Linked DNA regions of Mus musculus. The protein of the gene in region 1 interacts with the protein of each later gene in a biochemical or structural test. Links are inferred from orthologs where the notes say so. Each region holds a gene or a part of one and is shown in the gene's direction. Other genes may lie near its edges.

What was found. The genes of interacting proteins can lie anywhere in the genome.
Region 2: the proteins of Notch1 (region 1) and Maml1 form a complex in vitro, tested with the Homo sapiens proteins (2 studies listed by BioGRID). The link is inferred for Mus musculus from reciprocal best matches to the Homo sapiens genes NOTCH1 and MAML1.

Annotation. Positions count from the first base shown.
Region 1 is NC_000068.7:26,470,472-26,478,130, reverse strand, and holds part of Notch1 (neurogenic locus notch homolog protein 1 precursor), read left to right. Parts: coding exon 1-61; intron 62-140; coding exon 141-251; intron 252-991; coding exon 992-1,184; intron 1,185-1,637; coding exon 1,638-1,783; intron 1,784-1,943; coding exon 1,944-2,057; intron 2,058-3,890; coding exon 3,891-4,010; intron 4,011-4,297; coding exon 4,298-4,450; intron 4,451-5,118; coding exon 5,119-5,347; intron 5,348-5,858; coding exon 5,859-6,060; intron 6,061-6,825; coding exon 6,826-6,979; intron 6,980-7,124; coding exon 7,125-7,309; intron 7,310-7,659. UniProt on the Homo sapiens protein: Functions as a receptor for membrane-bound ligands Jagged-1 (JAG1), Jagged-2 (JAG2) and Delta-1 (DLL1) to regulate cell-fate determination.
Region 2 is NC_000077.6:50,258,748-50,266,406, reverse strand, and holds part of Maml1 (mastermind-like protein 1), read left to right. Parts: coding exon 1-812; intron 813-2,923; coding exon 2,924-3,157; intron 3,158-5,333; coding exon 5,334-5,430; intron 5,431-7,578; coding exon 7,579-7,659. UniProt on the Homo sapiens protein: Acts as a transcriptional coactivator for NOTCH proteins. Has been shown to amplify NOTCH-induced transcription of HES1. Enhances phosphorylation and proteolytic turnover of the NOTCH intracellular domain in the nucleus through interaction with CDK8.

The DNA of each region.
Region 1 (7,659 bases):
GGGGGCACCTGCCAGGACCGTGACAACTCCTACCTCTGCTTATGCCTCAAGGGAACCACAGGTGACTGGCCGGAGCTGGCAGTGGGTGGAAAAGGGTGAGGCCAGGCTTGGAAGCTGACCACATGTCATGCTGCCCCTAGGGCCCAACTGTGAGATCAACCTGGATGACTGCGCCAGCAACCCCTGTGACTCTGGCACCTGTCTGGACAAGATTGATGGCTACGAATGTGCCTGTGAACCAGGCTACACAGGTGAGTGGCTGAAGGCAGAGGTCAGGGTCATCCCTAGAGTCTGGGAGGGACTGTGGGGCTAGCCAGGGTCCAAGGGCTGGATGTCACAAGCTGGGTGTCAACTACCCAGATCTTGATCTGCCAACCAGTAGAGGTATCTATCATAAAGACTGGGTGGCCTCCATATGCCTCCTTTCCCCTGTCAGTGTCAGCCCTGGCCATGCCAGACTTAAAGCCCCAGTAGCCTGAAGTGGGGTGGCCAGAGCTCCGAGGCCAGGCTTTTGGATATGTGTTTAGATCTGATAAAATCCTTAGTTTCTCTGAGCACCGAGGACATTGTCCACCAGAGGATAGAAGAGGATGGGTGGTCTCAGGCTGAGGTAAAGCTGGGCTGCAGAGTGACTCAGTTGGTAAGGTGTTGACCTAGCATGTGTAAACCCTGGGTTCAGTCCTCCTGCCATGTTAACCAGATGCAGTGGCATGCATACGTTGTAACCCTAGCACTCTGACATTGGAAGCGAGAGGATCAGAAGTTTAGGTCATTCTCAGCTACATGTGAGTTTGTGGCCAGACTGGATCACATGAGGCTCAGAAGCTACTGGCACTACGGTCATGTAACTCATCGCTACATAAGGCACTTTACTATCGCTCAAAGTTTCATAGATTAGCACAAGGGGAAACTTAGACCCAGCTAGGTCTAGCTCTAGGAGGGGTAGGCTCTGGGTGGCAGGCTTGGAATCTGAGCCCCTTCCCACCCACAGGAAGCATGTGTAACGTCAACATTGACGAATGTGCGGGCAGCCCCTGCCACAACGGGGGCACTTGTGAGGATGGCATCGCGGGCTTCACTTGCCGCTGCCCCGAGGGCTACCATGACCCCACGTGCCTGTCCGAGGTCAACGAGTGCAACAGTAACCCCTGCATCCACGGAGCTTGCCGGGATGGCCTCAATGGGTATGGCAGACTGACCTGGGAGGGACTAGCTGTAGCCTTGGGCAGACACAGGCTGGGTGAATGGGTGCTCCTGTGAGACCAGTGATCTGAGGTCAGCCCCTAGTGTCTTCCCAGCATCCCTGGGCTGTATCCTCATTGGCTAGCATCAGCTCAGGATATAGACTCTAAGCACACTGTGGCTGCTGAAACAGTTGTCTGATACTGTGGTGACAGCAGCCCTTTGTCAGTGTGTGGGGGACGAGGAGATTACTAAGGTCTCCGTTAAAACTATTAAAGTTTTATACAGAGGGTCAGCATTGTCAAGGTGGCATTGTTCCAGTCTGGAACCCTTGCACGGTCTTGGGCCAGGTGGGTACCTCCAGCCCAGTGGATGATGTGGCCTTGTCCTCAGACTGGAACTGTAGTTTAGCAGGAGAGCTCTGAGCCCAGGCTACAGCTCAGGCCTCTCCGTAGGTACAAGTGTGACTGTGCCCCTGGGTGGAGTGGAACAAACTGTGACATCAACAACAACGAGTGTGAGTCCAACCCTTGTGTCAACGGTGGCACCTGCAAGGACATGACCAGTGGCTACGTATGCACCTGCCGAGAAGGCTTCAGTGGTAAGTGTGGCGGGTGACACAGCAGAATGGGTCCTCCCTTTGGTCTCTTTCTCGGTCCACCTGATGAGCTAGCATTTCTCAGGCAGAGATCCTAGTTCTCTTGAGGAAAGGCATAGGGCAGAGGCTCTGGCCCACCTCCTCTTGCTCAACTTCCTTACAGGCCCTAATTGCCAGACCAACATCAACGAATGTGCCTCCAACCCCTGCCTGAACCAGGGGACCTGCATTGATGATGTCGCTGGATACAAGTGCAACTGTCCTCTGCCATATACAGGTACGAACAGCCAGGGACTGGAATTGGCTCTGGTGGTAGCTAGTGGAGCTAAGAGTATATGGGCTTACCAGGCACTGAAGAAGGTTCTGTTCCTCGCTGAGGGTCTTAGGTCCTCAGACTGGAACTGTAGTTAAGCAGGAAGGCTCTGAGCCCAGGCTACAGCCCAGGCCTCCTGGGCCTGGGGATAGTCACCAGATGGGCAAACACAGAGGATGCCTAGGAGGAAGCTCCAGGCCGTGTGTCCGGGTGTTTATCTGGTATGTCTGGAGTGAGGTGAGCACTGGACTCCTCCAGAGAAAGTCTGGGAGGCTGACTGGTAGGTACTGCATGGATCAGGGTCCACTTTGCCTGTGCCTCTGGGGGCCCTGGCTGCCCTCCTCTGCTGGCTGGGCCTGGGATTCCTTTGATGGCAGCTTCTTTGTGTGAGGAGACAAGGAGCCCTCTGTTAGATGAACAGAGGCAGCTCCTGCCATGGGCACTGCCTGAGGAATGGCGAGAAATAGACCCCCTGCAGGAGAGATGTGCATTGAACATGAAAGCCGTGACCACATGGCCCCCAACCCTGCAGCTCCAAATACTGCCACAGAGTACTGGTGGCTTCATGCTGCTGCTGCTAGGTTCTGGACATAGCAAGTGGGTCTGTGAAGGTGGAGGCCCTTCCAGTGTTCCTATGATGCCTGGCAGGATGCTGTTTTCTTTGACAAAGTTAAAGGGCCTGGATTTTGTCTCCTGTGTTGGTCAGTGAGGAAACTGTCAGCAGCCAGGCACACCCCATGTTCCTTTTGGTCTTGCTGCTATCGGGGCTAGCGGGAGGAGTCAAGCCGCGCTGACCAGCTTCCTGCTTCCCTTTGCACAATTGTCGGAAACTCTGTCAAAGTTCCTGTCTGCCCAGGTCACCGTGGAAACCGATAGAGAGAGAGGCCCTGGAGAGTCTCACCAGTGGGCTGGGGACATGGTGGGAGACAAGGAAGATAAGGTTTCCTTGCTTAGCTCCTGGAGCCAACCATGGCCATAAACAGGAAAGCTAACTGGGATTGCAAGGAGAGTCACCTGGGTTACTCGTGGCTCCCCCAAGCGGTTATCAGATTTCACTGCCCTAGTGTGAGGCTGCACCCCATGTTCCCCAAGTAGGATATGCTTGGGGTAGCCACAGTAGCTCTGTCTCAGGAGTGAGCCTGCTGTGACCTAAAGCTTCAGAATCAGCTCAAGGATTTTCCTGGAATGGGGAGCAGGCCAGGTTCCTCCAGGCTCAACCACCTGTTATAGTAGGGTCTTGTTTTGAGGTTTTCTGGTTGGGCAAGGCCCAGGCTTCATCGTGGAGCATTTGGGAGATGAGAGATGGCTTCCGGGACTACATAGATGGCTCATGGAGAAAGAGTGCTTGTGGAAACATGAAGCCTGTTTCATGAAAACAGGGTACCTCTAAATGCCCATAACCCCAACATTTGGGAGCAGAGACATCTTGAGAGCTCTCTGGCTGGCCAGCCTAGCTAAGATGGCAAAGCGTCTGATTCAGTGAGACTCTGTCTCAAAGGAATAAGATGCGGGGTTGGTAGAGGACACCTGATATCCGTCTCTCCTTCTGCATACACTCTTACACACCTGCATGCAATATACTATGCTCGTTAAAAAAAAAAAAAAAAAGTGACTTAAGAGAGAAACTTGATTCTGCTTTATCTCTAACCTCCTGTCAGTAATCGTCATTCCTCCCGGGATCAGAGTCTGGCTGGCCAATCATACAGCATCTCCTATACCTACCCCCCGCCCCCCTTTATGGAAGACCCTATGGGCCAGGCTCACTGGGTTCTATCTTCTACAAATCTTTCTTTCTAGGAGCCACGTGTGAGGTGGTGTTGGCCCCATGTGCTACCAGCCCCTGCAAAAACAGCGGGGTATGCAAGGAGTCTGAAGACTATGAGAGTTTTTCCTGTGTCTGTCCCACAGGCTGGCAAGGTGAGGCTTGCCTGGTCCCACCAGGCTGGGACAAGGATGGTGGATGGGAAGTCAGGGGCCCTGGCCAGCCTGTGGGGCAGTCTCGAGAAAGGAGCCCATCAATGCTGAGCTACCTGCTCTGGGAAGCTCTGGGAAGCTCTGGGAGCAGGAGATGGTCCTTCCCATTCCAACTCCATATCCTTCTGTTGCCCAGAGGTCAGGGGAGAAGCACTGGAGATAAACAGACCAGCTAGGACAGAGGCTCAGAGGGTGGGGGCAGGTAACCAAATGAGTTTTTGTCTTCACAGGTCAAACCTGCGAGGTTGACATCAATGAGTGTGTGAAAAGCCCATGTCGCCATGGGGCCTCCTGCCAGAACACCAATGGCAGCTACCGCTGCCTCTGCCAGGCCGGCTATACAGGTCGCAACTGTGAGAGTGACATCGATGACTGCCGCCCCAGTAAGTGGTACCCAGCTCTGTCCATCCTATGTTTCGGTGCCTCTGTTCCTAAGCACACATGACAGGGAGCTGCTGAGAGTCTGAGGTGGAAAATAGCCCTGGTGCCCGGCAGTCATGAAGGACTGTGGATAGCTGTGCCCTCAGCTTAGTCCACTTGCCTGTGCCTTAAAAAGAGACAGGCCAGAGGCTAGACAGGCCAGGAGGAGGCTGTTGAGCATCAGTGTGTGCTTCTCACGGGCTTTGCTGCTAGATTTCCCAGCCCAATTGAGTGATATGGAGCAGAGGCACCAGGCACTTCAAAATGATGGCATGGGGCCTAGTTGTATTCAACCTTGACACTCGGCCCTTGTCAGGACCCATTGAGTTGTGTAGGGCTTTAGAGATGCCCTGCATCCTGAGTCAAAGCTAAAGGCAGAGAGAGATTGAGGGAGGTTCTGCCTGGCACCATCAGTGTGTGTGTAGGGGAATGGGCTTCCCTATGACTGCCTTGGGCCTGAGGGAAAAAGTGTATGCGGAGCAGATTCCAGGCTCAGTGCTGGGATGGGCCCCTGTTGACTACTGTCATCAAGGCTTGCTGTGAGCACTTGCCACCCCATACCACCTTCTCAGCATCAGGTCCCCGAAGCATGGCCAGTGGCCACCTAAGGCTCATCTTTCTGTCCCTCCAGACCCGTGTCACAATGGGGGTTCCTGCACCGATGGCATCAACACAGCCTTCTGCGACTGCCTGCCCGGCTTCCAGGGTGCCTTCTGTGAGGAGGACATCAATGAATGTGCCAGCAATCCCTGCCAAAATGGTGCCAATTGCACTGACTGTGTGGACAGCTACACATGTACCTGCCCCGTGGGCTTCAATGGCATCCACTGCGAGAACAACACACCTGACTGTACTGAGAGGTGGGTCCCAGCCTCAGCTGAGACAGGGAAAGAAATGGACTGTGGAAGACACAAAGTCTTGACAGCATGGCATCTCAAGCTGGTGTCTTGCCCAGACCCAGTGGGCATACAGCACTAATTGAACTGAATCCAGCGTTGTTCATTATGTTGCAGTATCCCTCCTAAAGGGGCCTTTGTGACCTCCAGTGACTTAGAACAAGGAAGTTTGTGCAGAGGAATTGGGGAACTAGCCTCCTATCAAACAAGAGCTTTGTAATCTGTCTTAGTTCCCCTTTTGCCCTGGTTGCCAGGAAGCTTAGAGTTAAATCAATCTCAAGCCTGGTTTGTGATGCGCTTCCTATAGTGTTCCTATTTTGCCCTTGATTTTGTTTTTCTCAACCACCACGTGTCTATATGCTATAAAATCTCTGCTCGTGATTTGGGTATTGTGGCCAGGTAGGCATGGAGTTGTCTCTCCTGGCAAGGACCTTAGGGAACTCCTCACTCTTCCCTGCTTCTCATCTGCCTCTAGCTCCTGCTTCAATGGTGGTACCTGTGTGGATGGTATCAACTCCTTCACCTGTCTGTGTCCACCTGGCTTCACGGGCAGCTACTGTCAGTATGATGTCAATGAGTGTGATTCACGGCCCTGTCTGCACGGTGGTACCTGCCAAGACAGCTATGGTACTTATAAGTGTACCTGCCCACAGGGCTACACTGGTCTCAACTGCCAGGTGAGCTGAGGTTACAGGGTATGACCCAGAAGGCCTAGGGCTCTCCAGTGCCCATTGCCCAGCCCTGGGCCACACTACCTTCAGAGGGCCAGGGACACAGAAGCAGAGAGGCTCCCTGGTGTCATCATTGGTTGATGAGCCAGAATGAACCCACATCCTCTGGGAAAATGCCAAGTTGGGTGCTTCTGAGGGAGACAGGTGGGCATGGGTGCCAGCCAGGCTCTTCTGTGGAGTGCATTATGTGGCCATCTGTCTGAAGCAGCCTGGGGCAGTGCTCACTTCTGGTGGAGGATGTCCAAGGGGAGGTAGCCAGTGGGTTGTGGAGAGCCTTGAAAGAGAGCAAGGAAGACGTGGAGCCCAGGCCTATGTTGTTCGGAGGGCGGGCAGTGTTTGTGAGTCCTGTGCCTGGGATTTCTTAGGTGATATTCTTTCTGAGATGGTGGGGGTGGGGGTGGGGAAGTCAGAGCATAAAATGCCTTATTCCAGTGGCGCTCAGCCTGTGGGTCATGACCCCAATAGGGGTCATATATCAGATATCCTGCATATTTTTGCTACATGACAGTAGCAAAATTACAGTTATGAAGAAGCAATGAAATAATTTTATGGTTGGAGGTCACCACAACACGAGGAACTATATTAAAAGACTGCAGCATTAGGAAGGCTGAGAACTGCTGTGCTTCTCAGAGCCAGCCAGGACCAGGGCAGGAGGGTGCCCTAGCAGTCAGAGTTGGTCAGGGAGAAGCTAACCAGCGCCTGTCTCCTCAGAACCTTGTGCGCTGGTGCGACTCGGCTCCCTGCAAGAATGGTGGCAGGTGCTGGCAGACCAACACGCAGTACCACTGTGAGTGCCGCAGCGGCTGGACTGGCGTCAACTGCGACGTGCTCAGTGTGTCCTGTGAGGTGGCTGCACAGAAGCGAGGTAACCAACCGGCCGGGCCCACCTGTCCTTGCTCAGGCTCAGCTTAGGCCAGGAGTGCCCCGGTGCCTGCCAGGTCAGGTGACAATGGGCAGTAGTCCCGAGAGCTCAGCCCAGGCCTCAGCTCCTTCCCGTCTTGTCCCCACAGGCATTGACGTCACTCTCCTGTGCCAGCATGGAGGGCTCTGTGTGGATGAGGGAGATAAACATTACTGCCACTGCCAGGCAGGCTACACGGGCAGCTACTGTGAGGACGAGGTGGACGAGTGCTCACCTAACCCCTGCCAGAATGGAGCTACCTGCACTGACTATCTCGGCGGCTTTTCCTGCAAGGTGTGGGCCGTCATGGGGTGGCGGGGAGGGTATCAGCGTGAGTGTTGCTGCAGGGGAGGGCTTTTGACTGGGAGCTAGTGCATCATGGCAGACTGAGCACATACCTGTGCAGGATCCGGTCACATTACAGATGTGCTGAAGGAGGAGAACTATGCCAAGCAGTGGCTTAGGGCACCCCTTTCCTATATGGTTTCATGGTACCTAATACCTGCTCCAAGACCTCATCCCTGGGGGACCAGGTGTTGCCCCACACACACACACCTTGGACACTTATTTTAACTTACTGGGGTCTACTGGGTGGAGCCCTCGCTGCAGGGTGGGACAGTGTAGTCTAACTGGGTATATGGCCT
Region 2 (7,659 bases), on another chromosome or scaffold:
TTGAGCAGGAGCAGTTAGGTTCTCCACAAGTAAGGGCTGGGTCTGCAGGCCAGACCTTCCTAGGAGCCTCATCTGCCCCTGTGGGCACAGATTCTCCAAGCCTTGGGAGCTCTCAGACTCTGTTTCACACAACTAGTCAACCTGGGGTGGATAATTCCAGTCCAAACCTGATGCCGGCATCAGCCCAGGCTCAAAGTGCACAAAGAGCCCTCACGAGTGTGGTATTACCTAGCCAGGGCCCAGGCGGGGCCTCGGAGCTGTCCTCTGCTCACCAGCTCCAGCAGATAGCTGCCAAGCAGAAGCGCGAGCAGATGTTGCAGAATCCCCAGCAAGCTGCCCCAGCACCCGGCCCAGGCCAGCTGGCCACGTGGCAGCAGGCAGGGCCCTCCCACAGTCCCTTAGATGTTCCTTATCCCATGGAGAAGCCTGCCAGCCCTTCTGGCTACAAGCAAGACTTTACCAACTCAAAACTGCTCATGATGCCCGGTGTGAACAAGAGTTCTCCTCGGCCAGGAGGCCCCTACCTCCAACCTAGCCACTCCAACCTGCTGAGTCACCAGTCACCAAGTAACTTGAATCAGAACCCCGTGAATAACCAAGGGTCTGTGCTAGACTATGGCAATACAAAGCCCCTTTCTCATTACAAAGCAGACTGTGGCCAAGGTGGTCCTGGGTCTGGCCAGAACAAACCAGCTTTGATGGCATATCTTCCCCAGCAGCTGCCCCATCTGAGTAACGAGCAGAACTCCTTGTTTCTGATGAAACCAAAGTCAGGAAACATGCCCTTCCGGTCATTGGTTCCACCTGGCCAGGTGAGTAGGCCCTTCACTTGCCATCACTCAGCTACGGGCACTAGTGAATGCACATACTGAACTAGAATCAGCATGCACGAGACAGTGGTAGCGGCTGCTGTCATCCTTTGAAGTGGAAAACGTAAAAAACAGGGCAAGGCTGGTGTTCGTGTTTTGAGGCACGGTTCATTTATCCTTGGCTGGCTGTGGAGCCACGCTGCTCTTGAGCCTGATTCCCCGCGCCTCTGCCTCCCAAGAGTTGAGATTACAGATGACTGGAATTGATCCTTAATAAAAATAGAGTAAAATTCCTTAATGTAGCAAGGCAGTGGTGGTGAGACCTTTAATCCCAGCACTTGGGAGGCAGAAGTAGAGGATCTTTTGCAATTTGTGACCAGCCTGGTCTACAAAGCAAGTTCCAGGACAGCCAGGGCTACATGGAGAAACCTTGTCTAGAAAGAAAAAAATTCCTTAGTATAAATTAGTCTTTAACTACATAAACATTTGAGAAATCACCTAATTTAGTTTAGTCGTCTCTTGCATGCCAAACAACTACATAAGTCCTTGCCAAAAAATAAATAAAATAAGGGGCTGGAGAGGTGGCTCAGCCATTAAGACTGGCTGTTTTAGAAGTCCTGAGTTCAGTTCCCAGCAACCATATGGTAGCTCACAACCATCTGTAATGGAACCTGATTCTCTCTTCTGGTGTGTATGAAGACAGAGCACTCATATAATTAAATAAATAAATCCTTCTCGTGTGTGTATGTGTGTGTGTGTGTGTTTTAGATAGTCAAATAGCCTGGCATGGCAGCACATACCTTAAATCCTGCATTCTCTGAGGAGGCAGAGGCAGGGGGAATCTCTGAGTTCAAGACCAGCCTTGTCTATATAATGAGACCCTGTTACAAAACAACAAACCAGTTGTGGTTCACAGTAATCCCAGCACAGGGAAGTTGAGGCAAGATTGCCACAAGTTTGAGGCCAGCCTGGGCTACAGTGTGAGGCCTTGCTTGTTTTGTTTTGGAGAAAAGAAACGAGGGGGAGGGGATGAATGTATTAAGTTCCATGGCTTTAAGCATGAACTCAAGAAAGGCAGGGTACAGAGCTGGTGGGCCATGTGCTCAGAACTTGCTCCTGAAACAGGAGCCCGGCAGCTCACTGGCCAGCCTGTCTAACTACACTGAGCAGCTCTAGACTCACGAGATCCTCTCACAAAATGAGGTGAAACAATGAAGAAAGTCACTTGATGCTGACCACTGGTGCACAAAGAAACACCAAATAAAATTTGAAATCTAAACACTATAAAGTATCTGTGTCTTCCCAGAAAAATACGCATAGACTAGTGAACATAAAAACGATTTCATGCTCTCTGGGCCAGCCATAAGGCAAGTCTGCATTCTTAACAACATAGCATTATTTTGCTTTTGTTTTGTTTGGTTGGAGGCTAGGATATTTGTAGGGTATTAGTGGTTTTTTGGCTTTTTTTTTTTTTTTTTTTTTTCTTCGAGATAGGGTTTCTCTGTGTAGCCCTGGCTGTCCTGGAACTCACTTTGTAGACCAGGTGGCCTCGAACTCAGAAATCTGCCTGCCTCTGCCTCCCAAGTGCTGGGATCAAAGGCGTGTGCCACCACTGCCTGGCTTGTTTTTTGGCTTTTAAAAAATAATTTATTTTTATGTACATTGGTGTTTTGCCTACATAAGGGTGTCAAAGGTTGGCGTTACAGACAGTTGTGAGCTGCCATGTGGGTGCTGGGAATTGAACCTGGCTCCTCTGGAAGAGCAGTCAGTCTCTTAACCACTGAGCCATTTCTCCAGCCCTATTGTTTGTCTTTAATGAGGCTTTTTATAGGTTGGTTGGTTTGGAGTGTTGTTTGCTATTTTAAGTTAGGGTCTCATGTATCCCTGACTGATCTGGAACGCACAGAGTTCCACTTGCCTCTGCCTCCCAAGTGCTAAAACTTAAAGATGCCTCCACACACATGAGGGACATTTCATGTCCAAACTATAAAATCAGGGAAGCAGAGGCTTGGAGTTACAAAAGAGAACAAGACTATCACTGGGTGCCGCTTATCTGGCCTGATCAGGGTTGGATCCATACTATCTGACTTGTATCCCTTCATCTTTGTTGACAGGAGCAGAACCCTTCCAGTGTCCCTGTAGCTGCCCCAGCTGCCAGTGTGGGAACCCAGCCTACTGTGTCTGTGGCCAGCACTCACAACAGCTCGCCATACCTCAGCAGCCAGCAGCAGGCAGCTGTGATGAAGCAGCACCAGCTGCTCCTGGACCAGCAGAAGCAGAGGGAGCAGCAGCAGCAGCAGCTGCAGCAGCAGCAGTTCCTGCAGAGGCAGCACCTCCTGGCTGAGCAGGTAACAGGCACCATTTCAGCTTGTTTGCACTCAATGTCAGTGTCGTGTCCTTTAAAACAATAAAAACAGGTGAAGTGCTAAAGTGCTGGTCAGCCTATGGCCTGCATGCAATCCCTGAATCTCACATACACGTGAAGAGTGAGAGTCTACAGCACACCGTGGCACACACATCTCAAGAGCAAGCATTCACGCACACATTCACGCGTGATGATAGGTTGTTTGCTTGTTTGTTTGTTTAAGAAGTTAGGACCAGTAGGCTAGAGGTCTGTTCCCAGCACCCCCACATCAGGTGGTTCACAACTGCCTATAACTCCAGTTCCAGGAATTCAACCACCATATCTCACCTCTGTGGACACGTCTGTACATGTGGTACACATAAACCCACACAAACAAATATGTTTTTAAGAATATGCCAGCCATGGTGGTGCACACCTTTAATCCCAGCACTTGAAGGTTAGAGGCAGGTCAATCTCTGAGTTTGAGGCCAGCCTGAGCTACATGGTGAGACACTATATCAAACAACAACAACAAAACCTTTAATATTCAATCTTAAAGAAGGGGCTGGAGAGATGGCTCAGTGGTTAAGAGCACTGACTGCTCTTCCAGAGGTCCTGAATTCTATTCCAAGCAACCACATGGTGGCTCACAACCATCTGTAATGGGATCAGATGCCCTCTTCTGGTGTGTCTGAAGAGAGCTTATATACATAAAATAAATAATTCTTTATAAATAAATCTTTTAAAAAAACATTTATTTTTATATGTAAGTACACTGTAGCTATCTTCAGACACACCAGAAGAAGGTGTCAGATCTCATTACAGATGGTTGTGAGCCGCCATGTGGGTGCTGGGATTTGAACTCAGGACCTCTGGAAGAGCAGTCAGCACTCTTAACCGCTGAGCCATCTCTCCAGGCCCTATAAATAAATCTTAAAGAAAAAAAAAAGGCTAATGAAGTAGCTCAGTGGGTAGAAGTCCTTGTATGCAGTGTGATGACCTAAGTGTGACCCAGAGTCCCACAAGGTGGCAGGAGAGGGCTGACTCCAGCAAGCTGCTCTCTGAACTTCACACCATGGCACACATCCATACACACACAAATAAATAAAAATGGCATAAAGTAGAGCAGCCCTTGAAGTCCTGCGATCACGATGCACATTTTCCTACTGGGTTGCCAGGCATAGTGCAGACCCCAGGCAATCATGAGAGCCTTTGAGAGGTTGAACCATGTCTTCTAATTAAGACGGGAGCCAGCTGGGCATAGGAGCCCTCGCCTGTAATCCTAGCTGCCAGGAAGCTGATGCAGGAGAATCACCCTCATGTTTAGCTACACAGTGAGTTCGAGGCCAGTCTGGGCTACAGAGCGATGTGGTATCTCAAAGGGAGGGAAGAGGCCAGGGAGGGACTCAAAAGTCGGAGACCCTGAGTTCATAACTCTGGGACCCGTGTAAAGCAGGGTCCAAGTCTGTAACCCTAAGTGGAAATGGGAAGCGGGGACAGATGCCCTTGATGCAAGCCTGGCTTCAGTAATGAACAAAAGAAACCCCGTGACAGCACGAGGAAGAAAGCAGGACCCACACCAAAGCCCTCTGACACGCCATGGCGATGCTTACCCACGTAACAAACAGAGAATACTGTGGACCCGACTCTAGAGACCACACTTGCTGAGGTTGCTTACTACCTCAGGTCCTTATTATGTTTTGTTTTGTTTTTCTAGACAGGGTTTCTCTGTGTAGCCCTGGCTGTCCTGGAACTCACTCTGTAGACCAGGGTGGTTTCAAACATAGAGATATGCCTGCTTCTGCTTCCCGAGTGCTGGGATTAAAGGTGTGCAATACCACCACCACCACGCCCGCCATCTTTAAACTAGCTGCTTATTAGGATATATTCATTACCACATATGGTTTGCTTAGCCAATAGACTTCATTGATGTCCATTGTAACTGTTGTGCAGAGTTGTGCAGTTACCACCAGAGCCCATGCTTATCGCCCCAAACACTGCACCCGTGAGCAGTCCCTTGCCTTCCCTGCACTCACGGGCGCCTGTGAGCAAGTGACAGGCCTGCTGGTGCCCCTTGTGAGTGACACACTTGCTTGTACACCTTGCGTTTCTCCTCATTGGTTTTGACTTCAGACTTCCATTGAGTTTTCCTGTTTGTTTCTGTTCTTGGCACTTTGTAGGAGAAACAACAGTTTCAGCGTCATCTGACCCGCCCACCCCCCCAGTACCAAGACCCAACACAAAGCACCTTCCCACAACAGGTTGGACAGTTCACAGGTGAGGAGAGGTGGAGGAGGCTGGGGGAGGCAGGCTGGGGAGTGGAGCTCATGGTGTACGGTCCTGATGGAATTGACTTGCTCACAGAAGCTCTGCTTAGGAAGGGAGGGCTAGATTTTCAGTTTCTTTGTGGCACAAGAAGGTCTCCAGGGTTAACTATGAGGATACTCAGTTAAACATCCATCTGGAGCAGAATTATTACTGTTAGAGGCATCTTATGTGTAAGCCTTTGTTTTGTTTTGTTGCTAGACAGGATTTTTCTATGTAATAGCCTTGGCTGTCCTGAAACTCATCTGTAGACCAGGCTGGCCTCGAATTCTGCCTCTGCCTCCTGAGTGCTGGGATAAAAGGCGTGTGCCACCCCCACGACCTGGCTTATGTGTAAATCTTAATTAAAATAGTTCTTTGTATCCTTAGGTGAACCCCACAGCAAGCTGGGTTTGGTGGTGCTTGCCTGTAATCCTAGCACTTGGGAAGTGGAGGCTGGAAGGTCAAGTTCAATGTCACCTTCAGCTTCTTAGTGAATCAAAGACTCTTGTCTTTAAAAGAAAACCAACATTTCCAGATGGAAAGATGTATTCTAGTGCACTCTGGTGTCACAAAGAAGGGAGGCAACTGAGCCTCAACGTCACCTCTGAGCTATAGAGATTGCAAGTCACATGGCAGGTGTATGCTGGCCTTGCCTTCCTTAGTTAACGTTCACTGTGAAGTGTCATAGAAACTGACCACAGCCAGGAAAGAGTCTAGGTGCAGTCTGGTGTGCTGGCTAGGAATATGGAGTTGGAAGTCTATTGGAGCCACTGGAGCATGTGCCTGGCCTGGGTTCTCAACTCCTTCCATGCCACACTGATGTATATGGGCTGTTAGCACAGTGAAGTGGTCCTTTTCAGCTCTCCCCTTTTCGTCACAACTGTTATTTAAGTTATTTTTATTAAGTCTCCCTTTGATGGGTGTTATGCACATGAGATATAAGTGCCTATGGGGGCACATTTGTGTATGCCTCTGTGTGTATGTGTATTACATGTGTGTGTCTGCATGGGTGCACTCACATGTGCTTCTTCTGTGCTACTGGCGACTGGAGTCAAGGCCTTGTGCGTGCTAAGAAAGAGTTCTGCCTACTGAGCTTCTCCCTCAGCCCCACATTCAGTTCTCAACACTTCCCCAAATGGCAGGCACAATGCCTTCAGAGTCGTGCATTCCTATGACCTGCTGCTCAAGCTGTGACCTTGTCACACCATGTGATGGCGTTGGCTTCCACAGACAGATTCTGGGGTATTGGTCTTGAAATCCCTAGTCCCAGCTGAGAAAACTTTGTTGGCTACTTGATAAATAAATGAATGAGACAGCTGGCTTTCGCCTGTGGATCTCCCTCCATCTGTCTTTGAGTTCTGTCCTGTCCCTGTGCCCGTGACATGTGAGGGCTCTGACTTTCATGCCCATGACATGTGAGGGCTCTGACTTTGATGCCCGTGGAAGAGGAGCTCAGCTTGGGCCTCAGAGACAGTTGACCATGACAGTCAGGAATGCCAACATGGGCTGGCAAGATAGTTCAACAGGTCAAGTCTGATGTCCTGAATGTGATCCCTAAGTCCCACCTGGTGTGGAAGGGAGCTGTATGCCTAGTTTATGACATTTGGGAAGAGGGAGATGCTCAATTGAGAGTAGGCAAACCTGTGGGGCATTTCTTAACTAGAGATTAATGTGGGAGGGCCCAGCCCATGTGGGTGCTGCTACCCCTGGTCTGGTTGGTGGTCCTGGGAGTAAGAGCTGAGCAAGCCGTGGTAAACAGGCTAGTAGGCAGCATCCCCGTATGGCCTCTGCTTTAGTCCCTGCGTCTGGGTGTGGTGGTGTATACCTTTAATACTAGCACTTGGGAGGCAGAGGCAGGCGATTTCTGTGAGCTTGAAGCCACCCTGGTCTACACAGTGAGCTGCAGGACAGCTAGAGTTACATAGCGAGACCCCATCTCAGGTTTGGTCATGGTGTTTATCACAGCAGTAGAAACTCTTTTAACTAAGACAGGAACTAACCCCTGCCTGTTGTCCTCCTACTCCCTCACGCTTGTGGCACATATGCACCTGCACCAATATGCACACACAAACATAAAAATGAATGCTGATTTGACGGCTAGAACTTTCTTTCTTCTAGGACCTTCTGCTGCTGTGCCTGGGATGAACAACTTGGGTCCGTCCAACTCCAGCTGTCCTCGAGTGTTCCCTCAGCCTGGGA